Tribolium castaneum: one gene and its partners. The protein of the gene in region 3 interacts with the protein of the main gene of each other region in a pairwise test. Links are inferred from orthologs where the notes say so. Each region holds a gene or a part of one and is shown on either strand. Other genes may lie near its edges. The genes, in order: Ubc4; iron-sulfur cluster assembly 2 homolog, mitochondrial; elgi.

What was found.
Region 1: the proteins of elgi (region 3) and Ubc4 interact in binary tests that used the Homo sapiens proteins (3 or more experiments, as listed by UniProt). The link is inferred for Tribolium castaneum from reciprocal best matches to the Homo sapiens genes RNF41 and UBE2K.
Region 2: the proteins of elgi (region 3) and iron-sulfur cluster assembly 2 homolog, mitochondrial interact in binary tests that used the Homo sapiens proteins (3 or more experiments, as listed by UniProt). The link is inferred for Tribolium castaneum from reciprocal best matches to the Homo sapiens genes RNF41 and ISCA2.

The regions. Positions count from the first base shown.
Region 1 is NC_087394.1:31,290,343-31,300,566, forward strand, and holds Ubc4 (ubiquitin-conjugating enzyme E2-22 kDa), read right to left. Parts: upstream 6,572-10,224; 5' UTR 6,216-6,571; coding exon 6,153-6,215; intron 6,092-6,152; coding exon of another isoform or gene 6,070-6,091; exon of another isoform or gene 5,938-6,069; intron 5,909-5,937; coding exon 5,756-5,908; intron 5,707-5,755; coding exon 5,624-5,706; intron 5,578-5,623; coding exon 5,414-5,577; intron 5,366-5,413; coding exon 5,229-5,365; 3' UTR 4,773-5,228; downstream 1-4,772. Other genes in the region: E3 ubiquitin-protein ligase RFWD3, read right to left, coding at 1,360-3,014, 3,069-3,096; Prps (ribose-phosphate pyrophosphokinase 1), read left to right, coding at 6,070-6,091, 6,656-6,860, 6,935-7,118, 9,131-9,196, 9,753-10,224. UniProt on the Homo sapiens protein: Accepts ubiquitin from the E1 complex and catalyzes its covalent attachment to other proteins. In vitro, in the presence or in the absence of BRCA1-BARD1 E3 ubiquitin-protein ligase complex, catalyzes the synthesis of 'Lys-48'-linked polyubiquitin chains.
Region 2 is NC_087396.1:12,840,625-12,849,706, reverse strand, and holds iron-sulfur cluster assembly 2 homolog, mitochondrial, read right to left. Parts: upstream 3,467-9,082; 5' UTR 3,350-3,466; coding exon 3,084-3,349; intron 3,037-3,083; coding exon 2,859-3,036; 3' UTR 2,740-2,858; downstream 1-2,739. Other genes in the region: protein phosphatase 1 regulatory subunit 21, read left to right, coding at 1,590-1,649, 1,710-2,018, 2,070-2,300, 2,346-2,732; protein FAM136A, read left to right, coding at 3,763-3,849, 3,897-4,115, 4,161-4,277; uncharacterized protein Sse, read right to left, coding at 4,347-4,513, 4,559-4,701, 4,944-5,111, 5,162-5,469, 5,521-5,740, 6,158-6,282, 6,334-6,653, 6,699-6,950 and 1 more; uncharacterized protein LOC100142360, read right to left, coding at 7,237-7,340, 7,389-7,476, 7,526-7,715, 7,762-7,994, 8,044-8,188. UniProt on the Homo sapiens protein: Involved in the maturation of mitochondrial 4Fe-4S proteins functioning late in the iron-sulfur cluster assembly pathway. May be involved in the binding of an intermediate of Fe/S cluster assembly.
Region 3 is NC_087394.1:31,068,854-31,079,738, forward strand, and holds elgi (E3 ubiquitin-protein ligase NRDP1), read left to right. Parts: upstream 1-6,610; coding exon 6,611-6,891; intron 6,892-6,941; coding exon 6,942-7,386; intron 7,387-7,432; coding exon 7,433-7,702; 3' UTR 7,703-9,216; downstream 9,217-10,885. Other genes in the region: scny (ubiquitin carboxyl-terminal hydrolase 36), read left to right, coding at 812-1,029, 1,081-1,319, 2,408-2,853, 2,913-3,188, 3,759-4,676, 4,874-4,996; THUMP domain-containing protein 1 homolog, read right to left, coding at 5,532-6,287; uncharacterized protein LOC103312325, read right to left, coding at 9,217-9,442, 9,488-9,708, 9,754-9,974, 10,019-10,142. UniProt on the Homo sapiens protein: Acts as E3 ubiquitin-protein ligase and regulates the degradation of target proteins. Polyubiquitinates MYD88. Negatively regulates MYD88-dependent production of pro-inflammatory cytokines.

The DNA of each region.
Region 1 (10,224 bases), about 220 kb from region 3:
TATTTATTTGGAAAAACCTGGCCTGTACCCATAGACCAAATAAAAAAATTAAAAAAGACAATACTCAAAAAGGGGAGCTTTTCAACGAGAGCATGGTTAATCACTGCATATATTAATTTATTGTAATTATTGGGGTTTTTAATGGTTTAATTTGAGATGTTTTTTTTTACTTATCTAATGGATTTATTGGGTTTTTGTAATAAAAGTGTGGAATCCTTTAATTAGTATTTATTATGTACTCGCACATAAGTAAAGAAATCAAGACTAATAATTATTGTAACATTTTCTTTAATTAGTTTGTTCCAAATATGCTCTATTGATATAATTAAAGATGCTAATTTTGCTATCTTATTATTTACTTTCGATGTGGTCATATACACCTCGTTTAGGTAGCAATAGTCCACTTTGACATTTGACCGAAGTTGCAAAATGTTATTTTAAGTTTCCGTTTTATTCACAGTTTGGTTGTGGTTAGTTTTCACGGGCCCCAGAAGGAGACCAAAAATTCGATCAATTTGTTTTTGTATGATTAATTCCAATAGTAATTTACGAATTTCAGTTATTGCTGTAGGTAAACAAGAATTTCGCTTCATTTTTTTATTTAATTGAGGTGTGTGATTTTCTACATATTTTAATGATATTCAGAAATTTTCAGCGCTATACCCTTATTATTTTTCCAGGCATCTATAGCCATTTTTTCTTGATTTTTTTTGTTAATTCTATTTGCTTTTAATTGACTTTTTTTACCTACATGAGTTTGAGCATACCTTCTACCTTAGAAAATTAGGGCAAAATCATTAAAGTATTTACTTTTTAAATAGACCTTTAAAAACAGGGTTGTGAATTCGCTACGCACTAGTCCACTTTGTGGACTCTCATGAGGGATCACATTCCGAATTTGTTTGGACGAAACCGTATTCATTTTTGTGCTCAAGTGGCCCAATAGAAAAACAGGGCAAAAAGCGAATTTTAACTTTTAACAAAGGTACCTTGAAAAACGGGGGTAGATCTGATAAAAAATGGTGTGTGCCGAACAAGCCCATATAGTTTTGCTTTTCTTAAACATACCTTTGAAAACAAGGTCAAAATGCTTAAAAGGTGTTGTGTGCTGAAGGGGCCCTTATAGTAGTAATCTACAATACCTACATTTTTTTTAATTTGTTCATGTAATTCCATAAAAACAAGGCACTGTGATCACAACACGGTGCTGTAAAGACACCGGGAGACTACAGGGAGGATTAAAACTTGCCGATGTGTAAAAAAAATAAATAATTTATTGAAAATCGTATGGTCAAAATGTGATCCGTAACAAAATTGAAGAGTGTACCTAATACTTAATACTTAAACTTTAAAAACCGCCTAAGCAAATTTGAAAAACTCGAGTTTTTTATCAGTCAACGAAACCAGAAAACTACCATTTTGATTCTGGAACCCTTTCAGATCGAAAACACTTTCGTGCGCCGTCACGGAGCAAACCTTTTGCCCCGTATTGATGCTCCACAAGAACACACTCTTGCAATTTTCCTGGTGGGCAGCAACGTAATCACTCGTATGCGACAAAAAACACGACTTTGATAGCAACTTCTGCATGCCGCCCCCTTGAAACGTGTGCAGAATATTGCAGTCAATTTTCCCCTCATTCCTCGCCAAGGTACTTAAAGTATGCCTCGCGTACGTAATTCGACTATTGGGCCTAGAAGACACTAACAATTGCTTTGTGTTTGTTTGGTATTTCATTGAAACGAATGGTCCCTCTAAGGAAATCGGGTGTCTCTTGTACTCCCCATTCGCGTTCTCGTACAGCCAGAGCGAGTTCAACTTGCAGGACACGACGCCCCCTTGCGCCAGGGCTTCGCCCGGGGCTGCCGGGATCGACGCGACTGAAACCACCGGAGACATGTCCCCTTCTATGGAAAAGGTACAAACGGCCTCGGTTAATTGCCGAATGTCGTATTTTATAACCGACCCAGCTTGCGTCCCTACGTATAGCTCGTATGGGTTGTTTTCGTCCCAACAGCATGACCAGAGGGGCATTTGATGGGTGAATTGGTGGACAACCGAATTCTCGTGGTTGTTTATGACCTTAAAGGTCTTGTCCATGGACGCTGTAAGCACCCAGTTCTGTTCCTTGTGGAAACAAATGTCTCTAATTTGCAACGTATGGACTGGAATGAACGCGATTGTTCTGTACCCCGAAATGTTTATTTTTTTCAAGCCGAACCCGGCGAACAAATTCGTGGGCGACTTCATCGAAGCCATGAGCAGGTCCAGCTCGCAGCGCGCGTCAAAAACCCGGCTTCCGCCGAATTTGCAAATCTCCATCGCCTTGTCCATGTACAGCTTGACGCGCTCCACCATGGGCTGGTTGAAAGTAGGAACATTGTTCTGCCTCAGTTGCGTCTTGAGCTGGGCGATCTCCTGCCTCAGCAACTGCTCGCGGTAGGCGCACGTGGCCAACTCAGTCTGGAACTTGTTGCGCTGTTCGGTCACCGAGTCCAGCTGTTTTTTGATATTGTCCAGTTCAGTTGTATCAATTGCTGTTAGTTTTTTGGCGTAAATGTAGCGAATGTCGTGGCGGCGCGCCTTCTCCTTGCAGGTCGGGCACGTTTTGCGCGAGTTCTGGTTCAGCCACCGGGTGATGCACTGCTCACCGAACAGGTGCCCGCACTTGAGGGCGCATATCCGATGGGGGCCCGTGTTCGTCCACTCGTCCAGGCAAATGGGGCACACGGAGCCGTCCTCCTCGCGCTCCTCGTCCTCGAAGGTGCGCTTTCGCGACTGGTTGCTCTCCTCGTCGAAGGTCTGGGGGGTGCTCGCCACTGACTCGGTGGGGGACAGTCTTTCGATTTCGTTGGCTTGTGGCACTAGGGGGAACCCCACGTCGTTGTAGGTGGCGGGGGGCTCGTTATTATCTACGTTTATTGCTACTAATGCTAAGGGGTGGATCTCCTCCACGCGCGGGGAGATTATCTGCAAGGGGTAGTCCTCAGAGCCTTCAACTTCCATCTCATTTTCTGAAACGGTTGACTTGTGTGATAATTCGCACGGAATAACGAGTTTATGGTTACCTCCGTGGTTGTAGTCATCCAAGTTCATTACTTTTTGGGTTTTTTTTCAAATAAATTTACAACCTAACCTCAAAAAACTATCCTGTCAATGTCAAATGGCGACGTCAAACTCAAGGACGTTTCAACGTCAACGACCTTCACGTCCTTGCATAAGATTTTTACGCAAAAATAACCACACGGAAATGTTTTTGCGGATTTTTCGTAACCACTAAGTGAAAAATAACTCATCTGATAACTGATAAAAATAAAAAATACAAATAATTCACGATTATGAACTTCCTCCCTGCTGGCAGTCAAATAAGCCTTTAAATCGAAAAGTTGGAAAAAACTTGCGTTTTTTATATTACTGTGGAGTCACAAAGGTTGTTCCAACTCCCGAGAAGGGGTCAAAAAGACTTTTTAGTAAAAATTTACAAAAACCTAACATTGGACAAATTTTGCGATTACATCCCGTATCTTCTTTCTGGATAAAGCTAGAAATTTATTTTTTTTGTAAAAGATTCCACCGTAAATAATGCAGTTTTACGTATTTACACAAGGTTGACTTTTGATAAAAAGAAACTAAAAATTACATTTTCTTGTAACGTCCTGTGTAATGAATTTTTCGATATGAAATGAAGTTAATAACTTAAATAAGTTTTTCATGTAAGAATCATTTCAATATCTGGAACACTCACAGTTATTACAATATAAAATTACCGCAAAATCTGCTCGAGGTGAAATCGCAGCATATTTCTAAAAATGATAAATTAACAAATTACTTTTAATCTAAGGTTACCAACCGTCCTGATTTAGCCAGGACGGGTTTAGGTTTTTACACTTATGTCCTGTTATATATGTTTTAAGTTGCCACCAAAAACACAGAATGTATCTACCTGATTTTTTTTTTCGAATAAAAACTACCGAAAATCTTCGTTTTTTCGAAAAATTTCTAAAACATGTTAATTAGATAAAAAAATTAAGATAACGGGAAAAACCATACATTTTCCGCCAATTTTTCTTCTTTTTTGGTCGAAAATAAGCCCAGATTTCCTAGGAATTCTTGCTTATAAAAGACTAGAAACCCTTAATTTTTGGTGTAATTTGAATAGGTTTTCATAAAAATTTTGCAAAAAAAGCTAAAGATGTTCGCAGCGATGCCAAAATACTAACAAAAAACAACCTTTTTTTCAAGTGTTATGACAAGATTTTACAGTATATGTATATTATTTTAACCGCCCTAACTTTCTGTTAATATTAATATCAAAAACAGTCAAGTGAACATTTTTATGCAAAATTTTCGGCTTTACAATTTTTGTTTAAAACTTTTTTTTCTAGCTTTCAGCGATTTTGAATAATCTGTAAAAAACGCTTTAATTTCGTTTCTTCAACTAAAAAATTCTTTGTCTAAACGTTTTTAACTGCTCCATGTAACTTATATAAAAAAAGCGAGCTTTTGAACATTTCGATTTACAGGCTTATTTGACTGGACCATTGAAATTATTCAATGACTGGACTAATAATAGGTGATTGTAATTGAATTTAAATCTATTTTGAAATAGTACCGAAGGAGTCTCGACCTTTCGTGGTGCTACTTATGTAAATCTGTTGCATAATCAGTGCATAAATTAAGAGTTAATGCGCAACTTTTATTTTCATGGAGTATTTGAGTTTCAAATGGACGTGGATTGTCTTAGGGTTGTAACTCACCTCAGTGCCTGTATATTCAAGATTAAAATTTTATTTTAACAGTATTCAATCGCCGATTTACAAATAAAAACAGTAACTAATTGGAAAGTGGTTATACAAAGCATTTCATTCAATTACCATACTTGAAGTGCTAAAAAACTAATCTGGTGGTTTTCACTAGCAAGAATAAACCGTAATTAATTGAAAGACTTTGTACTCGAAAGAACTAACGATAAGCATCAGTAACATCAATAAATTTCAAACACCAATATTGACAAAAGTTGAAATTAGTTCGCAAGAGCCAAAACAAGACTTTCGTATAGTGATTACTGAGACATAAGGTAAATGCAAACAATCCTTTTATTCATCTTGTACACCTTCAAAATAATTTAAGTCAGTAATCTATTGGGTAGAAAATGAAACTGCGTTTCATAACCAACTGTTGGAAAAGTGTAGAGAGAATATAGTAAAATGGCGGATTAAAATAGTTCACTAACTAAATAACTGTTCAGTTGCTCTTTCTATATCCCAGTTATACGACGACAAAGCGACCCGCGCCTGGTGCTCCTCCACTCCCATATCAACTAGCCTTTTTATTTTATCGTCACATTCTTTATTTACATGGGGACCTGCAAACAGAGCGTCACGCCGTCCTAATTGCAAACTGCATAAATTACCGCCTGCGTAAACATTTGTCCAATGTCTGGCCGTCATTTGAAACATTTCTATATTTTCCTTAAACTGCTTCGCCACCACGGCGTCCTGTGGGTCATCGGGCTCCGCAGCTGAGAGCAGCGCTTGGAGCGACAACAACACCGTCCTCAGCGTCATAGCTGCAGCCCTAGAATTTCATTTAATAACAAATACTACCACGTAATAGAAAGCACCATTGGTCCTTTAAAATGTCTAAGCAGATAGCGCCCGTTACTGATGATATATTCGGGTGCCATATCTTCGTAATGAACCTGACCTGTTACAAAACTCTTAGTCTTTTTTTTCCTGGTTATGTTGAAACGTACCTTGGGTGGATTGAAGGGGTATGTTTCAGGTACTTTAATCTCTAATACGAAGGTGCCCCCTTCGTAGGCCGTGTCCGGGGGGCCCGTGATCTCGCCTTTGAGCTCTGTATAACTATCATTTAAGAGTTCCACTTTGATGGCACATTTTGCTACCTAAATTTCAAACAAGCACGATCGTATTAGCCAAGTTTGTTGATTGTTACGAAATGACGTTGGAGTGATAACCCCTTCGCTTTGAATTTATGGCAGGGGGCATTTTTCAGTAATCAATATTTTACGTTGTGTACTGACAATTTCAAGTGTGAAAATTCGAAATGTCCGAGGAAACCGAGAACGGTAAGTGGCGTTTAGGAGTTAGAATGACATAACAGAAAAACAGTGTTTGCGAAGTTCCTACCTCTTCACTTTTAATAACCTCTTTAAACTCTCGTCGTATCCTTTGTGCTGCTATGTTAGCCATTCTGGTGGGGAAGTTCCTAAATGCAGTAAAACATAACAGATAAACCGTGGCTCTAAAAAATAGCGATTTGTTGACAAAAGTAAAAAATACACTGGCTAAAGATCGATTTTCACACTTTTAATTTCTCACTGAAGTTAGGCAAATTATGAAATGCTAAATGAAGAAATGTCACTTGTTTTCAATAGCATTATAGCCAACTTTACGGAATTTACGCGCGCGCCAAATCGGCCGAAATCTCGCAAATATTCGGGGATTTTCCCTCGGACTGCTGCAACGATGACGTAAGGGCCCCCCCGCGCGATTTCTGTTGACAATTTCGGCGATATTTTCGACGGAAATCTTCGATAAGCAGGGAGTATTTCGTCACAAGGTTTATCATTCTGGAGCGTTGTTTGCCGATAACATTAGACCCCGCTTCTGATTGGCTGCGCGTTTTGCAGTTATGCCCGTTTCCCAGCCCGTACGTGCTAAAAGCTTGTTGCGGGCAAAGTTGGAAAAGTCTTCGTTGATCCTCCAGAGCAGAATGCCGAACATTAAAGTCTTCAGCGGGACCTCGCACCCCGACCTGGCCCAGAGGATCGTGGACCGGCTGGGGATCGACTTGGGCAAAGTGGTTACGAAGAAATTCAGCAACTTGGAAACATGGTGAGTGGGCTTTGGAAATTATTTGCTTATTGACTTGGCTTAAATTGCGACTTATTATTATTATTTTATTTTAGCGTGGAAATTGGGGAGTCCGTCCGTGGGGAAGACGTGTACATCGTGCAGTCGGGCAGCGGGGAAGTTAACGACAACCTGATGGAACTCCTCATCATGATAAATGCGTGCAAAATTGCGTCCGCGAGCAGAGTCACTGCAGTCATTCCATGCTTCCCGTACGCTCGGCAAGACAAGAAGGACAAGGTGAGTGCACAATTGCTCCAATTGTGTACCTGCACATGTGTAGATAACCTAGACGCCACGTGACTTTGTATACATCTGCAAGCGGGTTTGTGGAGACCGTAGTTTTGGTTTTTAGGACAATTAGGGTTGTGGTTTTTCCTATTGACCTGACAAATTAGTCAAGCATCTGGTTTAATAATTGGACAAGTTCAATCCGACCACGTAGTTTATTAATTTGAAACAATTTGTTTACCGTTAGGTCGGCAAAAGGAGCACGTGGTTGAGAGGGCGCCACTGCCGCGACTTAAGTATTTCAAACATGTTTGCTTTGCTTAAGAAATATATGATTTATGATGTGTTAAATAGTCATAAAGGCTTTTTACTAGAATATTAGCAAAGGCATAATAAATGTAACTGCACTATTAAAAGTGATTTTGCTATATCCATTTAACAAAGACAGTCTTTAATTTGTTACTTTTTATTACTACAATTATTGTGTACTTTTAGATTTTATTGATGTTTTTCTTGACACAAAAGTGGAAAAATAAGTCTATTTCTTATCATAATAAATACTAAGTGATTGTGTGATTAAGGTTTGCCAGTATTTAAATATCAAATTCAAAATTTTATACAAATAATATACACTTCCATGCCTAGCCATCACCTGAAACAAATTAGAAGAATGACCAATAGCTCAATAATGCCAATAGATTTTTTGTCAACATGTACTCATTTGAATGTATGCGTTTTTTTCTTATGTAGTTGGTAATCTAGAGGCAAAAACGTGGTCTAATTAAATATTACCGTTCGAAATTTGATTAACTGACTCTTCAGTTTTATTAATTATAATAATCAGCCTTGCCATACAAGAAAAGAAGCCATAAAAACTTACTCTAATTATAAATTCAAATGATTGATTGGTACTATGTATTATAATAACAAGATAAAAAAAACTAGTGGGGAGTCTACAGTTGAAGAGCAGATTTCGAGAAAAATTATTAAATTTTTTTTAATTACTGAAATAATGATTTCAAAACGTGTCTAAATTACATTACGTGTTACTTTTCCTTCAAAAGACCAAATTTTTCTTTAACAAACTATTTTTCATGTGCATCATTCTACTGCTCTACCCAACCGCCTTTATCTTGAATTGTCACAGGACTAAGCAAACGAATTTAGAGAAATCATACGTTTACAAAAAAATTTACAATACACTTGATCACGATTTTTTTAATATCTTTATCTCTTTCAGTAATTTTTTGAAATAATAAGAGTTCCAGGTAAATGGAATTCTTTGCTTGTGGCAGTTTTCAAGTGCAATTTTAAGTAACATTAAAATATTATCATTTTAATTCGGGGTGTTCTTAGTGCAGGTCCCAACTGGCCTGCCCTAATTGTTTTCCCCCTCAAATATTTGTTTATTACAATTTATTGAGTAATTTGAACAAAAATATTTTATTGGTTCCTTATCTGTGTAGCAAAACCACTTTTGCTTTCAATGACGTCTAAGCGAGGAACTAGCCACAGTTCTCTTAATTAATTAAGATTCTGTATATCTATTACTAATTAGCATAACTTAAAAATAGTTGAAATGGTCGGAAATACGTCAATAAGTTCGGGTTCATGTGTGTTTATAAACTGATAATAGTGGAATGTTTAGCAAAATGCATTGCTTTAAATAGTTTTATATTTCAAGAGTAGATCAAGTAATGTAATAATGTTGAACTACTTACACTATCGTGATAATAATTAAACTCTAATTATTATGATTCTTGACTTTTTCTAACGTGACAGAGATTGAAGTTTTTTCTAAAAAGTTGAAAGAAACTTATGTAAAGTGTATTTTTATTTATAATTGCACCTGTTTTTCGTATTCTCAATGTTTCTGTTGACAAATTTCCAATTTTTTCTCTTATGCAACGTAGTTCCCATAAATAAAATTTAATTTTAACTGAAATCATTCGATTAGAATAAAGTAGATTTACACCTTCGTACATTCACATACACACTTACCTGATACGAGATTATTTTAGCCTGCGAATAAAAATGACGTCGAACGCAACGTGGAAAAATGGAAGTCAATCGAATGGAAATTCAGGGTAAAAATTGTTAAATTTTGTGAATGTTGCAGGGGCTTATTGGGAAAGTGTCGTCTGAAAATCATGTTTTTACGCCAGAGTTAGACTAGCTTTGTACGTTGTTAATAACACTGATACAAAACACAGCGTTCATACGTCGCAATTAACAAATAATAATAAAAAAATCATAAATGGGCGCGTAATTGCGACACGCTGTATATGATTCCCGGAACTGCATGCCAGGATTACAAAACGAAGGGGAAACGTACTGTTGTGAAACAATTTTACATTGACGAAATAGTCATTATTATCGTGTAACAAACATTCAGGAGTCAGAAGTCAACTTTTGTTTATCTGTTTATTGTTGGGTAAAAATTATCATCCGAAAAATGATGTAATGATCTTGAAACCATGCGATAATAATAATAATACCGAAGACTTATTAACTAACCCGACATGTCATTTTACTAATTGAAAATTTAGCTAGATAGTGGCTTGGGAATTTTGTTTAGCTTTTAACATGTTAGGTCCCTCGCCCTCGGCCCAATGCATGCCAATTTGAACCTTTGCTCAACAGAGTCGGGCCCCAATTTCGGCCAAACTGGTCGCGAACATGCTCTCGGTGGCGGGGGCCGATCACATCATCACCATGGACTTGCACGCGTCGCAAATCCAGGGCTTCTTCGACATCCCGGTGGATAATTTGTACGCCGAACCGGCGGTGTTGAAATGGATCAAGGAGAACATTGTCGAGTGGCGGAACAGTATAATAGTGTCGCCGGACGCCGGGGGCGCCAAGAGGGTCACCTCCATCGCCGACAGACTCAACGTCGAGTTCGCCCTCATCCACAAGGAGAGGAAGAAGGCCAACGAGGTGGCCTCGATGGTGCTCGTCGGAGACGTGAAAGACAGGGTTGCTATTCTGGTCGACGATATGGCCGACACTTGCGGCACGATCTGCCACGCAGCCGAGAAGTTGACCGAAGCTGGGGCTACGAAAGTCTACGCGATTTTGACGCATGGGATTTTCTCCGGACCTGCCATAACTA
Region 2 (9,082 bases), on a different chromosome or scaffold from region 3:
CATCTTACGTTTTTCTAAAACGGGAAAAGGGTCGCTTCCCACGCAATTTATTTTAATCGACACGGTGCGTTTAAAAAGGTTTTCACGATTTCATGGTGCAAGACAGCCACCGAATAAAAAGCTCGATGAAAGCTTTCGAACTCAATAAGAGAATCATCGCAAATTATAAAAAGCTCAAAAGAAGGATTATACATCAGGACAGTGTACCTAAAATTGGATCAATATTGGCACACTGTGGGTGCAGGTAAATATACATAAAAAATTATTTACACAAAAAAATTTCAGGTACCCATCTCGCCTCAGGTTAAGACCGCATGACTAATTACGTGTCCTTTAAGCTTTTTGTCATTCGATGCAGAATTTACTTGCATGCAAGGAGCGGAAGCGTTTCCAAGTTTATAACTTCGATTACAAGGAGATTACTTCATGCTTTCGACAATTTCGCAATTGCGAACAATTTTAATAGGTAGCGCAAAAACTAGTTTCGTTTTACGAGTTGCAAATAATTTGTTGCGAAATGAATAGTTTTATACAGTGCATAAATGTCATGTGTAAGATTTAAATTTGCACTTGCGGCGCTATAAACCATTGTAGAATTACTCGAGCTTTATAGACCTCGACAAGCCGCTAAAATAGTCAATCAAACCTATTTCCTTCATGCTCTGTCGTTCCACCTGTATAATTTAATACTATCTACACACATTAAGCACCCAAATGGGTTTTAATTCGCAAACACATGTCTTTTCTACCTTCAGGTAGGTATAACGTCCGTCAAGTAATATTCCCAAAGGGCACTTATACTGGTCCACTTCGAGATCTTTTTAGGGGATGCTTTTACGGATAACGTGATTTATTGCACATGAAATTGCGTGAAATTTTATATAATAGCCGATTTCACGGCAAGGGGACGATTTAAACGGTGGTTGGTGATTTATGGAGGATGTGTGGGAAGTGGATAAGCACAAAAATTAAAGAATCTTGAGTAATTATCCGAAATTGTGCCTTTTGATTGGACACGACGTGAAAAAGCCGGGATAAAAGCCCCGAATAATCTATCAATTCGTGCCGACGCGTCCGATATATTTTCGAAATAATCAGTCATAGAAATGAAGGGGTTGCACTTCTTGGGGTGACAAAAATGAGCGACACAAATTTTAAAAGTCTAGGAAAGTGAAACTTTGAAAGTTTTATACAATAGGTGGGTATACGTTGTTATTGCCAAGTTGGTATATACGGAAAATTTTAGTATGTTCAGTAAAAAAAAAACTAGTATTAAACCATTCCTTTGAAGAAGGCAACAGAATGCAGAGTTGATTTGAGATTATTTATAACCAATTTATAAAAAACATTTATACTATAAACAGCTTTGCCTTTGAATTTTTATTTTAATTTTTAATGAAAAATAAAAAATTAAATTTTGAGCGACATCTATGCAATTATTGATAAGTACAAAGTTACAGTGATCTGTAAATTTTATAGTGTCAAACCAAAACGTCAGTAGTGTCATTCAATTGTCAAAATAAACTAACCTAAGATATGTGATTAGAAAATAAATAATTGGGCCGATTTATGTAATAATTCGCCTAGAAATGGACAAACCAGGCGATTTGGAAGCAAAGTACCAAAAGCTCGCCACAGAATACTCCAAAGTGAATTATTTTAATTTAAAATTAGTGGGGCGGATCCGCTGACATCTCCAATTTTTGCAGGTGAGGTCGCAAGCCACGGTCTTGAAAAAAGCCGTTTTGGAGGAACAGGCGAAAAACAATGAATTAAAAGACACAATTAAGAAACACGAGCAGAAGATACGGAAACATGATCAAGAAATGGAAAGCCTAACTTTCCGAAACGAGCAGTTGACTAAGCGGATATCAGTGTTGCAACAAGAATTGCAAGTGAACAGTCACGTTAAAAAAGGGAAAAATAAAAGCACCGAGAACATCATTCAATCAGACACTAGTGTCCTGGACGAGGAGTTGCAGAAAAAAATTCTAGAAAATGCCCAACTTGTTAGCAGTGTAAATATTTATATTTGCTACTGTTGCTGGTTATTTTTAGGCGTGTTGTAGATGGCTGATAAGGAGTACGAGCTGAGCGATTGCAAGGAGAGAATCGCATGGTTGGAGAAAAGATTAGATAACTGTGAGAAAGAATATCACCAGAAGGAAACGAAATATTTAGAGGACATTGCCAAGCTTAAAAGGGCGAAATATGAAGTCGAAAAGAAGGTCGAGGAGCAGCACATGGATGTGCTAAATTCTGATGTTGCGTCTAATAAATCCAGTGAAGACCAGAATGAGGTATTTCTCTTCAAAAAATTCGGAAAGCTATAAAGTGCATTTTAGGTCACTTTTTGGAAAGAGGAAGCTGAGAGGTGGCGCTCTGAATGCGAAGTCCTGCGTTCCAAACCACAATCAAACGAACGGTTGACTGAATATTACGAATCTCAATTGGGCGAATTGTTGCAAGCCAAGCAAATGGCCTTCTCAGAAACCAAAACTTTGTGGGGTGAAAATCAAGCCTTATATTCAAGATTAGAACATCTGACTGTGGTAAACAAGGAAATAGAAGGCAATCTAGAGAAGAGCAATGAAGAGTTGCTTACCACTATAGAAAATTACAAGAGTCAGCTTGATGCAATGACTGAACATATAGCCGCCCAAAATGATAAGATCACGAAACAGTGCGACGAAATCCAAGCACTCAAACATAAAATTGCGAGCAAAAAGTAAACATTCCTTTAATTTAATAATTTATTTACATTATTTACTCTGTATAAATTATGCGGTTTGTTTAATCGACCTGTATTTATTTACATATTTGCAAAAAAGTCTAATACAGTTATTGCACTAATCTGTTTAATCCAGTCTGACAGCAAAAGACGACCCACAGGAACACCCTTGCTCAGCTAACGGGTTATTGACAATCCTGAAGGAAGATTTAATTAGTTCTTCCCGGTAGTCGACCGTCGCTCCTCTAACAAAGTCCAATGACGTTTCATCAATCACAACTTTAGCTCCATTTTTTTCAAATATTCTGCAAAATCATTTGTAGCTAAAAATACATAATCGGTGCTCACTCACTTATCGTCTTCATTAATTTTCGAGTCTAGGTCAAATTTATACTGGAAGCCCGAGCAACCGCCCCCATCTACACTCACTCTTAAGAACTCATCCGAATTTTTACTGATATTTTTCAAACGCTCGACGCAAGTGTCAGTGATAATTAATTCCGGTTTTATGTGCTCCAAAGGTTTAATTACAGGTTTTGAATAATTTCGGGATAAAAAATTACGCACACTATTAATTTTAAACGGATAGAACCGTCTCACTAACCCTGACATTTTCATAGGTTAGATTATTTTGGCAGTGCCATAATTTGACAGTTAAGCGGCTCTTGCCAACAGTTGCATCAAAACCAAAAATTACTAGAAATGCCGGCCTGGAAAGCTGAATTTTCCGAATTTGGTCGCAGATTTTATACAGTATACAAATCGAGCTCGTTGACTATTTTGGTCATTTACTCACTTCTTGCTCGATTCTCTGCTGTGAATTACAGATTTTATAAAATTTTTTAAACTATACAAAAAAATAAAAAAAATGTGGGCAGCGATATCTAGGTGTCGGAAGTCAAAGTACAATTTTACAGTAACCTGTAAATCTGCGACAGTTGGTGCCATTTAGGTTAGGTTAGCATAACCTCACAAAATTCACGTTTTTAATTTTTCTTATCACAAGACCGGAATTCTCGCACAAATCAAAAATGGTCGAGCAGCAGAGACAGAGAATTGAGCAAGAAATGACCAAAATGGTCAACGAGCTCGATTTGGAGTATTTGCGCAAAATGCAGGTACTGTATATAATTTGTGACCAAATTCGGAAAATTCAGCTTTCCAGGCCGACATGCATCGCTGCGCTGCGAAATGCTGCGACAACCGGGAAATCTCACTCGAAAGTGTTCAAAAATGCGTCGAAAACTGCGCCTCGTCCGTGAACTATGCCCAGAATTACGTCCAAAGAGAGCTAGAACAGCTCCAAAATAAGCTACAAAGGTGCGTTATGGACTGTAACGACGACATTCGGGTGAAAATGGGGCCTAATCCTTCGGAAGCTGAAGTAAAACAATTTGCCAAACTTGCAAAAATATATTACGTTTTTTAGGTTAGTAAATATACAGCGCTGTTTGAAACGTGTGCCAAAAACTGTGTTGATAAACAAATTGCATACATGCCCTCGCTTTTAAAACGAATGAAATCTGAACTAGGAAAAAATAAGTGAGGTCGAGCAAACTATATATAGTGGTTGTTGTTTTTAGTTACACTTGAATAATAAAACATGTTAAAAAAATTAATTTGTGGCTATTTTAACGGGGATTCCCCGTGCCACACATGCCGCTCGGGTTGCGTAGAAGTTTATCTCTGATGATTTTTTTACGGCACTTAGGGCTTTCAACAACTCTGGCTCGTGAGTGTGGCAAGTGGGTGGCGGATCAAAGTGTTGTTTTGAAAAATTTACTACAAAACAATTAACGCCGTGTGCGATTTTCACATTTTGTTTACCTTTTTCGCCTTTCTTCCATTTCGCCTTATCCAGGTGTTTCCAATGGACTTTTGAACACGGTATCCAGTAACTCAAAAATTCAGTCGCCAAAATATCAGTGTCCAGATCTGTGACCTCCCATAGCATTCCCACAGTACAAGGGCTTTAAAAATAAGATTTATTACAATTTCGCTGCTCCGCGGGCGCAGCCTGCGGATGTCTAAGATTAGGAAATGAAACGACCCAAATAATTAGTGAATTGGTTGAATTTAAAACGATTTGTCGTATTTTTTAAGTTCAGAAAATCCAACAATTTTGTATCTCGTTTCATCTCCTACGTTATGCTTCTCCCTAGCGCAGCCCGAGGGTGTAATCAAATTTAATAAAATAAAAGTTGGAAAATACCTGCAAGCAATTAAATACACATGAGAGGCCGTGGCCATTTCACTTTGGGGCCCTAGCCTCGTCAAGCGTGTGCTGCCACAACCGAACAAGACAACAACAGCATTTATCCGAATCTTCTCAACGTTAGTTGCGGAGAAAAAATGCGAACCGCTCCCATGTCCGTTATAACTACAAAAGAACTTAAGTTTTCCAATTTCAAAATTATTATTTCCAATTACGAGAAAACGTCTCCTGATAAGAGCAGTTTTACAAACTGTTCACTCGTCGGCCTCGCACCGGTAATCCCCTCCCATGTGGGTAACCAATAATCACAGAAACTTTCTATCCGATTTTGCATATTAACCAAGTCTAAGTCTGGGTTAATGAGATATGTGCCACTTTGTGGATTTTTTAAAATTTTAAAACCACCCTCCATACTGTCTTTGTGCTCTTGATATAAGGCATAAGCCAAATGTAGGGATGGTAGTCTCGAAACTGTCGTTTCTGATAAGATTTCCATCATTTCCCAAGGGTAAATGTCTAGGCTCTGCGTAGAAAATGATAATAGAAAAAAAACTGGTGATTTTAATTAACTCACATCATCAATAATTAAAATTAAAGGGTGCCGTTTCTCTTGGAAAAGCTTAAATTCCTCCAACAAGTCCCTAATGAACTGGCCAACACTTCTTTGTACATTTTTTTCCGGGAAAAGGAATTGTAAAGCGCTCCGTAATTCAGTCATTTTTAAATAATAATAACTCTTTATTAAATACTGCACAATAACTTTGGTTTTCTCATCCAATTTAAGCCACGGAAATCTACAAATAACATAGATATCCAGTTTTGTTTGAGAACTATCAAGTAATAAATTTACGTACGATTTCAAAAAATTTTGACCAAATTTTTCGGCAAAATTTCCTGAAATTCTTGGCCCAAGTATGAGCGAAATCACTCAGGAGTGGCTGTAATTATTGTTGTTATTTTGATATTTTTATTTACATCATTATCGCGACCAAATTTCTTGGAATAATTTAGTTTAAATAAATTAAATAATGTAACTCAGATCCTTCTTGGTAAATATGTTATTTCGTTTCGACAAAATCCCGCAAAATAAATCGAGTTGCTAGCCCAAAAACAATCTAATCCACTTAAAATTGAAAATATTTCTCGCACTTCAGCCAATGTTTGTTTGGAATAAAACTTAATTTTCTTCCCTTGGAGATTAAGTGACTTACTCTGTTCTAAAAAAATCTTCAATTCGTTTCCGTATTCTGTTTTCTAAATCACTGTTGATGTATTTTCCCATAAACAAACACTTCCACTCTTTCAAATACAAGTTACTCAAGTCCCTGACAACCATCTAGAATGAATTAGTTACGACCAAAGAATAATTTACAATAAAAATTCTTACTTCTAGCCTGTCATCAATTGACTTTCTCTGGCAATAGTAATGATGTTTTTGCGAAACGTTAGCAAAATGCTTTTGTTTGGATGATTTCAGTAAGAGTTCTTTGTTGTCTGCAAATATGGAGTGCATTTCTTTGGCTAGTTCAACAGGAGCCCCCTTGACACTGTCATGAGGTGCACTAATACTGACACAAAACGGTTTGGGTTGGTTTGGACCACAGTTGAACACAGAAATGTACAATGGGTTTGTGTGATGTTCATCTGCGGCTATTTCCACGTTCGCTTTGCAAGTAAATTGTGGTGTAATTTGAACCAAAGTCCATTCTGCAAGAGGGTAAATAAAACACTCAGTTATTTATTAATTGTTACCAGGCGGCATTTCTTCAATTTTGCTGAGTAAACTACTGATGTTCTTCTTGATTTCTGTGTTCGGGCAACTCGAGGCGACATAACTCTTGTCCAAAGACAATAACTTTACATTGTCTGTGACTGAAGATAGAGTTTTCTCGTAGCGTATGGCGGTTTTAAGCCGCAAACTTGGCACATGAGACTCGACTAGATGATGTATTGCTTGCAATTCGTTGCTTTTGAGGCACTTGCAGGCTTTAATTCTTTCCAATCCTGTGACAATCAAAATTTAGGTTAGGACCAAATTGGTGTTAGCTTACTTTGATAGAATAAACCGGAGGGATAATGAAGAGGGGGCAATTGCCTCAAGATTTTTTTTGTTGGGATGTTTTCCTTGTTTTCCATTCTAAAAAACACCGGTGTTCTAACTGAAAACAAATTTAAAAAAGACGTCAAGTTTGACACTTGACAGTGCAACAAACGTGCGCTGAATCTTGAAATTTGGCGGTAAATCAAAATTCATTTTTTCCAAAAAAATTTATTAAAGATTAAATACATGTTAATTAGGACACAACTTATCCAAAAACGAACCAAAACATAAACCTGACACATTTGTGGGCTTTAAAAACATTTCGTCAAAACTATCCAGACTTGTCGCCTCACCTAAAATCGAGTCATAAATGATAAGGAACAAGAAATGGTAAAACGTACGTTCTTCCACGAAACTTCTTGCAGAACAAAGATTATTTTCTATTCTATCAAATAAATAGATTTTAACACAGTCAAGCTCTTGCAATACCTTAAAAATGCTAACTTAGTTCTGGCCCAAAAAATCGTACACAACTTACTTCCAACAACGAATAAATATCGACGGGTTTGATGTAATGAAAATATTCACACAAAACCGTAAAGGGAATGTTGGGAAAATCAATGCAACGGGAAAAAACCAAACACAGCCATTCGTAGAAAAGATTATCGTTTAGACACCCGTCAAGTTTAGTCCACGGTTTCAATTGTACTTTTCTAGGCTCAAGCGAACTGAAAATAACATTTAGAAAACATAAATCAATCAAATTCGACTTACTCGAGCTTTTCCCCCATAAAAGCCCTTAATTGCGTCATTTCTTCTTTTTCAGTCGATTCATAAATTTGTTTTTCTTCGCGTGACAACATAAAAGTTTCAGTCAACCACTCGGACTGGTACTCATAATGGACATAAATAAATGACGCCACACCCGCTCTCAAAATCACACCGATTTCACCCAAGTAATGCATGAGATGGGCCAAATTCAGGTCGGTTTTATTCGTAAAATATTGCTAAAAAGTATTTGTAAATAGGCGCTAAAAGTAAATGAACGACCATTACCTTCAGCTCTCGTCCAGAAACACCTAACTCTTTTTTCTCTTTAATAAAATCGATCAAATTTTCCACAATTTTGATGTCGTCGCCAGTGCCACTCACATCATCCAAGTATTTTATGATTAAGTCCATTTGTGGTGGCCTCACAACACTAAAATTGTAAAGGTGAACAAAATGTGAACGTTTCAAGAAAATTAAATCAAATGAAAAATATTTTTCAATTTCTTTCGCCTCTATTTTCTCGCTGAAGTCTTCTTTCCCTGCATTTCGTGAACAATAATAATTTTTATGGACTTGACATCAGTACAGTTAAAAACTTATCTTACTGTTTGAAAGGTACGAAAGTCGGATACTTTTTCTTGTTGAGATATACAGCGAATTCCATACTTTACCACGCGCAAAAAAATACTTCTTACTGACATATACTAAATTATTTAGTTTAAAATTTTGAAAATATTTATAAAACTAAAAGCAAAGATCTTATTAAATCGTATGAAATAAGCACAAAGAATCGTCGATTTTTCGACTACTTTAAGCAAAATTTCACAAATGTGTGCCTTATTAACACACGAAAAAGGCAAAGTTAGAAGTTTTAGTCCAAAAATAAATGATGTCTAGCAAGATCTTGTTAAAAAAATAATGCACACGAGTATTTTTTGCTCAGAAACGTGCTTATTCGTGCTTATGTCATGAAATAAAAGAGTTTTTACTAAAACCATTAATTACATGATTAATTAATAATTTACTTTTACATAAATTTTTAACAGAAAAAAGAACTTTTACCTCACGTGCGTGCTATAATTCCCGAAAAAGATATAAATAACGTCATTTTTTCTTTTTTAAATTTGTTTATTTCACTTGATCTTTATTGTATTTCATTAGCATTTTCGTGAAAGTCTTTATTTACTCAAAATCTCTCAAATTTTCTATTACACAGTTTGATTCATTTTTACTTTAAAAATAGAACGATTGGAATATTTTGTAAAACTTTTTTTGAAATATCTTTTTGTCCCCGTGTAAATGTAAAAAAACATCGAATTGTATT
Region 3 (10,885 bases):
GTAAAAGTATAATCAACAAATTACGTCACACACGAATCTTATCTTAAAAGGTGATAGCAATTAATTACTAGCAAGGCCCTCCTTTAGTACACAACATTTTTTAAAAAATGTACCCGTTTTTAAGGTACCCTTTTTTAACAAGTTAAAATTTTCCACAGAGGAATTCAATTTTGGACAAATTCACCTTTCAAAAATTTAATTATTAAAGTAAATAATAACAAGTAAAATTACACTGATCATTATTGCGCACAATAATTGAGTTATTAATAAAAAACTAATAAAATTAGAAACATTTGGCAATTTCCAAAAAATTCCAAAAAAAATCAAGTTGGTTAACGGCAAATTTCGGTAACCTTAACCCCTTAACAAAAACAAAAATAACCAAACCATTGAAATAAGAATCAAATGTGTGGGTGTTGAGCCTTGGCAAATATTTAATAATAAAAGACCTAAAGCAATAACAAATAACCCTCCGTAAAAATTATAGATTTGGAAAAGTACGGTTCAATACCAAAAGAGCTCGTAGTTGTCGCGCTGCCCTTGGGGCGAATTGACATGCGCACTAGTGACAACAAGCTGAAAATCGTCGTTCGGAGCAAATTCTGGTGGTGCCACTGATGTTCTAAATAAATCGCGCAATTGGCGTTATCTGATAAAAAACCGCGTCGCGCCAACTCGCCCCCGAGCCAGTGTTCGAGACTATGCTGCACCGACAGCCCCCGAGCCCCAGCTAGCACCGTTCGAAGCCAGACAATACGGTAGGTGGCCGCCACAACGCGGGGTTTCTCTGGCACGTGTAGCTGTCACAGGGATGCCGGCGTCCACCCTCGAGCCCGTGAACGCGGCTTTGCGCTCCGCCCTCACCAAGACCGACGACAGTTCTCTGGACACGCAGTTGGCGGGATCCACCAAGAAGGCCCTCCTGTCCAACATCGACTTCGAGCCGGCCGGGAGCTACCAAAGCACCGTCTTGGACAAACTCAAGTCGAAGTACATCGTGTTGAAAAGCTCGGAGACTCCGCAGCCCAGGTGAGTTTCGCCGTTTTGAGGGGCTCTTGTGATTTTTCGCTCAATCCGCAGCAAGCCTGAGGGAGACATGGGCGCGGATGAAACGCTCAAATTGGCTAGTTACGAGCTGTATCCTTTTGAAGCTGTGCAGTTAGGTTGGAGTAAATGTGACTGGTCAGTGGGGGCCGGCATGATTAACATGGGAAATACCTGTTATCTCAACTCTACGCTTCAAGCACTTTTCCACGTTCCCGCTCTTGTCAATTGGCTCATTTCTGATAAGGAACACACAGCTGAATGCCAGGACTCAGGTTTGTTCACCACAAGCATTTTATTATTTACAAAATTTTATTAAAAATAAGCTCTAAATCTAGTTGAGCAAATACAGTATGGAAAAAATCTAGTGTTATCAAGTAAAACATCAAATCTTCTAAACGGAAAATTTTATTTACATAATAATCATTTTTAACATTTAATTTAAAACACTTCTGCTCGCTGTTTACGTATTGTTTTAAAATTTCAAATAATAAAAAAAAATAATTCCAATAATATGATTAGTGTAGATGTCTATATTACCGGCAAGGTCAAAGAATCTTTCAGTACACTGGTTCTTTCGTTGATTACTATTTCTGATTTTCCTTTATTTATTTACCGTTGAAAAGAAAAGTAAAAATTAAAATTTCCTGTTTGTTGACAGTTTTCGTGGTATTGAGAATTTGAAGCGACTTTTTTTTAACAGAAATGTTACTCTCTTATCTTTAGTTGACACCACTAACAAATTTTTTCATGTTAATTTTAGTAAAAAAAATTGGAAGTTCCGGGTTTTGGTGTATATTTTGAAAAAAAATTAATTTTAATTTTATTTTTTATTTATTTTGTTACCAAAATATTGACGATTTTGTCTTAGTTATTTCTGTTCACATCTGTTTGATTAAAAAATAAACATTAATTGTTTTTGGGCTGATTACGAAAGCTCTCAATTTTGAAACTGTCATTGTGACACAAACATACTTAATTGTAAACGAGCATTACAAAAATTTTACACGGAAATTGCAAGCTGACTGGCCTTGTTATTATGTTAATTAATTTATTTATTATTAAATTATTTTATTCACTATTAAGCCGCATAAACAGAATTTCTATACACGACAATATAAAAATGTGAGAATGGCGCCAATATATTTGATCAATTAAGATAATATTGTGAATACAACTGCGCAATAACTGTTTAGCTTACCTCTAGAACTCTTATCGAAGCAATGATTAGAATTAGAAGTGGTTTTTAATGAGCAAATAAAGCAATAGCATGTGCTTTTTAATCACGAAACTTAAGACATTTCGAAATTTTTAATAAATAATTGAGTGAATTTTTTGACTGAGAGCTTCTTATGTTTTGCAGGTGGGCTGTGCATAATATGTGCAATGCGGAAGACTCTCCAAGACTCCCAACAACGTAACACAAACACAATCCGTCCTCTCCTCATCTACAACAAGCTGCGTTTGGTGTGTCGAAACCTCATCCCGGGTCGGCAAGAAGATGCGCACGAATTTCTTAGATATCTAGTGGAAGCAATGGAAAAATCCTATTTAAGTCGATTTAAAAACCATTCCGAATTTGATTCAAAAGTGAAAGAGACCACACCTCTCAATCAAATACTAGGCGGATATTTAAGATCGGCAGTGAGATGTTTGAAGTGTGGTCACGTCAGCACCACCTTCCAACACTTTCAAGATTTACTATTAGACATTAGGAAAGCTCAAACGCTCGACGAGGCGTTGGAAGGTTACTTCTCTAGGGAAAAATTGGACGATGACTCGTATCATTGTCAGTCTTGTCAGAAAAAAGTGGGTATTTGTATTCAAAAGTTTGATTTTGTTACTTATCTATGTTTTCTCTTGTCTAGGTACCTGCAACAAAACAGTTCTCCCTTGAAAGAGCCCCTATGGTTCTTTGTATACAACTCAAACGGTTTTCTGTTAGCAATAATAAAATTACTAAACATATACATTTTCGACAAAGACTGGATCTAACAAGGTATGCCAGACATCGTCCCAGTGTTCCACTGATCTATAGACTTGTTGCCTTAGTCACACATATGGGACCTACTGTTAATTGTGGCCACTACACTGCAGTTGCCCAAGCGCCGTCTGGTAATTTTTACCAGTTTGATGATAGTATGGTAAGAGTAACATTGACAAACTGACCAGTTTCCATTAAAAATTACACTATGAAATTATTGCTTCATATTTGGTGACCCAGGCACTATTAAACACTGATTAAACCTTTGTAAAATAAAGTTTTTCTAAGTAAAAAATATTAAATAAGCATCGTAAATGTGCTATCGTCAGTTTTTTAAGAAAAATGTATTTGAAGGAGATATCCTCCGACTTTCATTACGTTAACTAACATTTGATGAAAGCTAAATGTCAATTGGAGCATACATTATTTCTAATAAAATAGGTCAAGGAAAACAACAGGGTGCATTTTTTTATTCTAATAAGAATTATTTCAATAATTTATTTTATCAGTGACATACCATGTAATACAAGATCGTAAGACATGTTACAAAAAATATTATATCCCAAATACCTACAAGGTTCTGCTTATTTTTCGCCCCATAATTGTGTAATAATATGATTAGGGACAGTTATAAAACTTACGCATTCATAATACAAACATGTGTGTCTACAAAAACGTTATGTAGGGGATAATTAATTGACGAAAAATTTATTTCTCCCTTCCTTCACAGGTGCGGGTGATATCTCACCAAGCTGTGTTCAATACAAACGCATACATAATGCTGTACGAATTAGAGTCATCTCCATTTACCAAATCAAATAACGGGACAAACAACAAGATAAAACCTCCGCTTTCTCCCGAAGCAAATACTAGCAACAACACATCAAAAGCTTCACTGAACGGTATCGGTTTTACGAGCGACAAAGTCTACGGCCCCGAACTGCCCCCCGACCGAGTAGAAAAGAAAATCAACGGTGTTAACCCCACACCGGTCACTAACGGTAACGGAAATCACTCAGAGAGTTCCGGAACGAGCGACAGCGAACCGGAAAATCCGCAAAAAAGTCCACAAAAAGAAAACAAACCGGTGGCGACACCTCCGCTTCCCCCGAAAAAATCAATGCCTAGCATAAATAACGAGGAAACCGCCAAATCACCACTAATGCAAAAGAATCGGACGTTATCGCCACGCAATACTAATAGTACAACACCGATTAGTTCAACAAATGCGGAAAAGAAAGGGTCATTTCAGCCGGTTACTACGAAATTGGTTCCGTATGAGACGGACGATTCGAGTTGTTCCGACGAATCGAATCAGTCGCCACAGGATGTGGAGTATAGAGTTTCTACGAAGGCGGCAGTGGGCGATTGGAAGGTTACTTCAACTGAACCAACGACGCAGAGTAAAAGTTGGGGAGAGAAAAAACAAGATGGGACTGTTAGCGAATTGTTCAAAATGTCCCACAGTGGGTATTCGGCACCTGTTTCCTCGTGGAACGGTACTAGGTCTCAGCTAGATAAGGAAATTAGCAACGAAAGGAGAGAAGACAGAAAGAGAGCTTTGAGTGATAATTCGGACCAAGGCAAAGTCAAACATCAAAAACTGAATAACTCCTACAAGTCTAATCCTGGTTACAATCCCGTACAAGTGAGTAATTTGTTAGTTCCGATAATAGCTTCTTTATATTTTTTGAAAAGCTATTAAATATATTAAAAAATATTTTGCAAATTTAAAAATAGTTTCCTAAACTTCTTGGATAAAAATATAGAAAATTGAGTGATTTTAGCTGTCGTTTCGTATTCAAATATTTGTATGAATTGTTGTATATCGTATTTTTGTTTCAGGAATTTCACAACACTAAGAACTGGAGTCAGAACAACGGTTACAAGCCGTTTTATTCGGGCAACCGGCACCGTCGTAATTTCCACCACAAAAGCTTTCATAAAAATTACCGCTTTAGGCAGTGATTAATTTTAAGGTTGAATATTTTTACATAGGCAATTGAACTTGTATAATTGTGCATATTATGTCACCATTGTTTAGCATAACTGAATTTGTGAATTTATAATGTAAGTATTTATATTTTTAAACAAACTATAATTCCTAATTTTGATTGAAAAACCGATGTAATAAAGTAGCGATAGTATAATTAACAATGAAATCTTTTAGGAAGTGGTATTTGTTTCATTTTTTTGAGCTTAATGTTCACAGTGCATTTAAAATACTGTATTTTTTCTATTTCTTTTCCTATTTGTACAAAGATTTATTTACCATTAAGCATAAAGATATTAAACTTTTACCATATATTACTTTAATGTTTATTAACTTCTTGAAATTGACGAATGTTTTGAATTTTATGATGCAACTTTGAAATTTTAAACAATGGTAATAGTCAAACCTACACTATGTGTACTCATGTTGTAGCAATGCAACCATGTATCTGTTCTAGAACAAAACTTTGGAAATAAAATTTTTATATTAATAGAAAATTTTATTGCAACATTAATTACAATCAGCTACTTGTTCTTGACTACAAAGTGACAATAAATTATACTTTTTGTGCTTAAGATAGTCAGGTATAACACTTAAAAACGCAAACCCCTTTATCACTTCAACAATAATAGCCACTTTTGCCTCTTTAAGATCAACTTTATGATCAGGCCTCAGCTCGGACACTTTCGCTGCAATTAATTTTATGACTTCATCCCGCGAAACAACATTATTATTCCGGTGGTTGAAGATCACACAAAACGTTTGCGGGGACTCCACAAAGTGTTTCTGGGCGAGGGGCACAAATGCGTTGACAATATCACTCACATTCGCCTTGCACGTAATTTCCACAGGAATCAGTCTCAGCAAAAATTTCGTTCTTTGGGTCTTACTCCCATCAACATCTTTTATAATCGCCTCTGCTAGCTCAACCGGATTCTCCAAACTCGTCCTAATGAATAGGAAATTTTTGGCACCAGATTCTATAACCTGGAATCGTTTTTCACTCTTGTCTTGCTTCAGTTCGGATATTTCTTTAGCCAACGAGTCGTCAATGTCTTGCTCAGCTTCAGGTTCGTTGCTCTCTTGGTACAATTTGTCAGCATATTCGTTTAGTAAATTGTAAGATTCCTTAATGCAGTCCTTTTCCCTGTTGTTACAACTGCAGAGGAAGCCCCGCAAGTTCACGTCCAAGCTCAGTCTTTTGTTGGAAGTTTTTTTAAAGTAGTATTTTTTGGATTTTTGTTTGGAAACAACTGGCTTACTCATGACTACGACCCCTACAAAACTATGTTGTAATATACAATTCACCAAATAAATCGATATGTGACCACTGTTCTTTGTTAATAACACGTATTAATCCAATATTTTTTTATTTGTAAGCATAAAAAGTTAAAATAAATACGCACTTAAAAATTAGGTTAGCTGAAACATCACGCCTGACCAACCTAACAGACAAAACTTCCTAAATTTTTTGTTTCTGTGTCAGACATTTTGTTGATGGGTGACATTTGTCACATATGATTTTACAATTTATAAATAAATCGCAGTGCTAAAATCCGTGCAAATTGTGATGGGTCGTTACTGTTAAAATGGGCTTTGATATTAATAGGTTTCAAGGAGATGTAGATGAGGAATTGGTGTGCCCCATTTGTTCGGGAGTACTGGAGGACCCCTTGCAGGTGTGTTTACTTATTTTTTTAATGGAAAAAGTCTTACTGGTTTTGCAGGCACCTGTGTGCGAGCATGCATTTTGCAAGTCCTGCATAACCGAATGGATCACAAGACAGCCCACATGCCCCGTGGACCGACAAAGTGTCACATCAGCGCAACTGCGCCCAGTGCCCCGAATTTTACGAAACTTGCTTTCTAGGTAATCAAAAAGTCTGAAATGAAACCGTTCGATTCAATATTTTGTTCCAGACTGTGTATAAATTGTGATAACGCTCAGTATGGCTGTACGCGTGTATTAAAATTAGACTCTCTCTCGAACCACCTTGAAGAATGCGAACATAATCCTAAGAGACCTTTACCGTGTGAGAAGGGCTGTGGTTTAGTGATTCCTAAAGATGAGTTGAAAGACCACAATTGCGTGAAAGAACTGCGAGCGCTGATACAGACCCAGCAGCAGAAAATGAACGACTTCCAGCAGGAAATCACCGAGCAGCGCTTCCTAATCAACGAGCAAAAGCGCGAAATGCAGCTGCTGAAGGAGTTCATGAGGGCCATGAGGATATCGAACCCTTCAATGAGGGCAATAGCTGATGCAATGGAGAGAGATGAAGTCTTAAGGTGGAGCAACTTTCTCCAAAGGGCGCGAGTCACCCGATGGGGAGGGATGATCTCGACACCAGATGAAGTTCTTCAAGTAGGTTCAATCAACAAGTGGCGAAATTTTCATAATTTCCTTCCAGAGAATGATTAGAAGGACGTTAACTGAGATGGGGTGCCCCAACCACATATTAGACGATCTAATGGAAAATTGTCACGAGAGGAGGTGGCCCCCCGGCTTGAGCTCGCTGGAGACCAGGCAAAACAATAGGAGACAATACGAAAACTATGTTTGTAAAAGAGTACCGGGCAAGCAGGCTGTGCTGGTACTGGCGTGCGACAATACGCATATGGGCGAAGACATGATGGTAGAGCCAGGTTTAGTTATGATTTTTGCTCACGGTATAGAGTAACCCTCTTTGTTTTTATTTTTTTTAATTACATTCCTTTTAAATACATTAATTTACATTAAGTTTAATCATAATCTTTCTCACTGCTTTATTATAAAATCTGGGGTCTGTAAGTGCCACAAATTGTTCCGTTCTGGTGGTGATGCAGTCAATTTTATCAATTAGAATTCGTAAAATTAGAAAATTGACAGGAAGTGCACTAATGATACAGGATTATTCAGCTTGAACAAATTAACTGTTTTGTAACTTACTGCAATGTGCCATTATTCATGAACCAAAAGTAAATTAAGGCTGTGGTCTACTTTATTAAAACATTTTCACCCGTTTACGTATAAATAGCTTTAATGGGTCATTTAAACACCGGTAAAAATGAAACTAATTCGCCGCTTGAGGGGCTTTAAACGTCGTTTGTAGAAAATTTAATTCTCTTCAACTGTTTTTGTTACGTTTTTCTTGTGTTTTTGATTGTATTCGCATGTAAATTATAAATTTAATAAATTATTCATGCACTTTAAAAAATAATAATAATGTAATTTATACTTTCAATGAGAGATCTAACCATTAATAATTATTGACTGTGTCTAAACTCCCGGGAGCGTCACGAATATTGAAAGTGACGTCATCAACGACCAGGATTTTTAATTGTTTTATTGATTTTTTGTATTTTACACATAATTTTTGTTGTAAATATTATAGCAATCCTTAAATTTTCCAATTGGAGGAGAAGCCAATCAGTCAAGTCTTTAATAACGATTGCAAGGCCAAATTTAAAAAATACTTACATTTTATTTTTTATTACACAAAAAGTTTGTGTCTTCGAGCATCATATATATATGATGAGTGCCTATAATAATAGGGAGAATTTTTTTGCAGACCAGTGTTATTGAACTTACTTTTTGCAATCAAGAAATTATTATAAACGTTGACTGCATCATCAATTTTGTTCCAGAACGTGTTCATTTGTCGATTTTATAATGCGTAAAGTCATCAATAATTCCTGCCGCCAGGATAATTGATTACTTTTGCATTTTCAAAGAATTTGCTGTTAATATTGATTTTTCAACAATAACGGAAACGCTGACGCAGACTTGAATGTTGGTGGATGTGCGGTTTTCCCGTTTTGTTTCGTTTTAGTTATGTATAGTTTAATGATCTGACATTTGATCTCAAAAATTCACAACAAAGTCGTTCCTACATCCGATCGGATTTGGTCTGACATAACACTAGTCACGTCAGAAATGTGATTTAATTTCTAAATTTTTTGAATGGAGGTATGGAAATATCAAACACTAAATTCTACTCGAAGCTCCCCTACGTTTTGAGGACTAGCAAAGGAACTCAAAGAGCTAAATACATTTGTGTAGCTTCTTGCAGTTAATTTTTGTTAGGGTTTTGGGGGGTGCGATGTTTATTTATTTTGTAATGTGATTAATATTGAGGCTTAAATGTACTTAACTTCTGTTGGGCATTTTGTAGTTCTTATGTGCTGCCAATTCTTGTAATAAACAAGTAAATTTTTATATGTTAATGTGATTACGACCCCGTTTGTAAAAGTAAAACACGAATTCGGACACGAGAAATAATAACGCGATTAAAACACCGCCTAAAAACAGTAAAATTGCGGATCCTACGTGTTCACGACCGGCACTTGAATACCCAGGATTCAAGTTGAGAGTTGAAACAGGCCGTAAATTTGATTTGAGAATTTTTTGCAATATTCCAGACTCGTCCAAAGCAATTACACTGAAAAACAATGATATAACGTATTCCAACAATCTTAAATATTACTGTTTGTTTATGTTTTTTTTCCACGAATTATTACGCAGCGTCAGAAAACCTTGGGTGTATCTCACATTCAGTTTCATTGTTTGCAAGGATAGAATTTCGTCGAGGCCCAAATTATTCACCATGTACTGCTGTAATGAAATTTCAGGGCCCACACCGATCCTGTCGTTTATATCCAATTTTTCAAATAGAGCATTTAAGTCAGAGACGTATTCTGTTACAAGCTGAAACAGTTGTTGCAAAGTCGTTCACATAAACTCAGAAATTACAAATCTTTCTTTGAATTGTTTTATCTCGCTCCGGGTGCACTCAGGACTGATCAAGTGAAGTTTATCGATTCTGAGGTTCTGTAAATTAGCGTTAGTTTCGACGTTTTCCACCAGAATTGAAGTTATAGCAGCCGCAAAACCGGTGTACAATAAATACGCCATCAGATATCCCAGGAAAAATATCAAGCAACTGGCAAAACCGCTCGGTGTGTGACTTAGGCCTTTAAATTTTGGTTCCGTAAGGACAAATTTTGAATTTTTTTACCTTGTTGGCACGCAGCGGCAATGGCCCAAAGTGTTATCTCAACCCACGTCCATGTTTCGTAACTTGGTCGCATCATTGCGTATTTTCGGGTTGAGATTCGTAAACATACAGCCAGAAGGATCATTATTGCAAAGAAAACCAACCACAGTGAGCCGGCAAACGTTAAAATGAATATATCTTTGGTGAATCGCAACTTGCTGGGTTTGTAAACCAATATCAAACTACAATTGAGTAACGCATGCAAGGATTTTTCACTGGTTTAAATAACGTACTTGCTCTTTATGACTGGGTATAACTCGGTTACATTTGAGGGCAAATTCTCAGAATGTGGGTGGCAGATTACTAAATCAATTTCGTTGTTGAAAAGTTGAGTTAAATTGTTTATTACTTTGAATTCAGTGCTGGAATTAAAAATTCATTGGCTCTATCTAAAGTGTCATTTTTCTCGATAAAGAAAACAGTTTAATACTCCTCTCAATGCACTAAGGATTAGGGATGTTTTACCTGATATTTAAGGCTTCTCGAAAATTTTCAATTATGTCAATACTGTAACCTTCGATCATTGTTTGATTATCGTTGATCGTCATCCGACAATCGAGAAAATCAAACGTTGATGCTTTTTCTGCAAACACTCCAATTTTTAGAGTCGTGTTTAATACATGTTCGTCTTCGGTTGCAAAAATATACTTATACTCGAACCAAACTTGGCTCGAGTTGTCCACATTTTCAAGAACTTCAATAGAGGCCTTATTCACTTTTTTGTGAGCTATGAAAAATTGAATAGCGTCTCTGGATTGAACCCAAGGAAGGGACACAATCAAGCAGAGAGCAATGATACGCATTTTTGCGAAGTGATTGGAAGAGTGG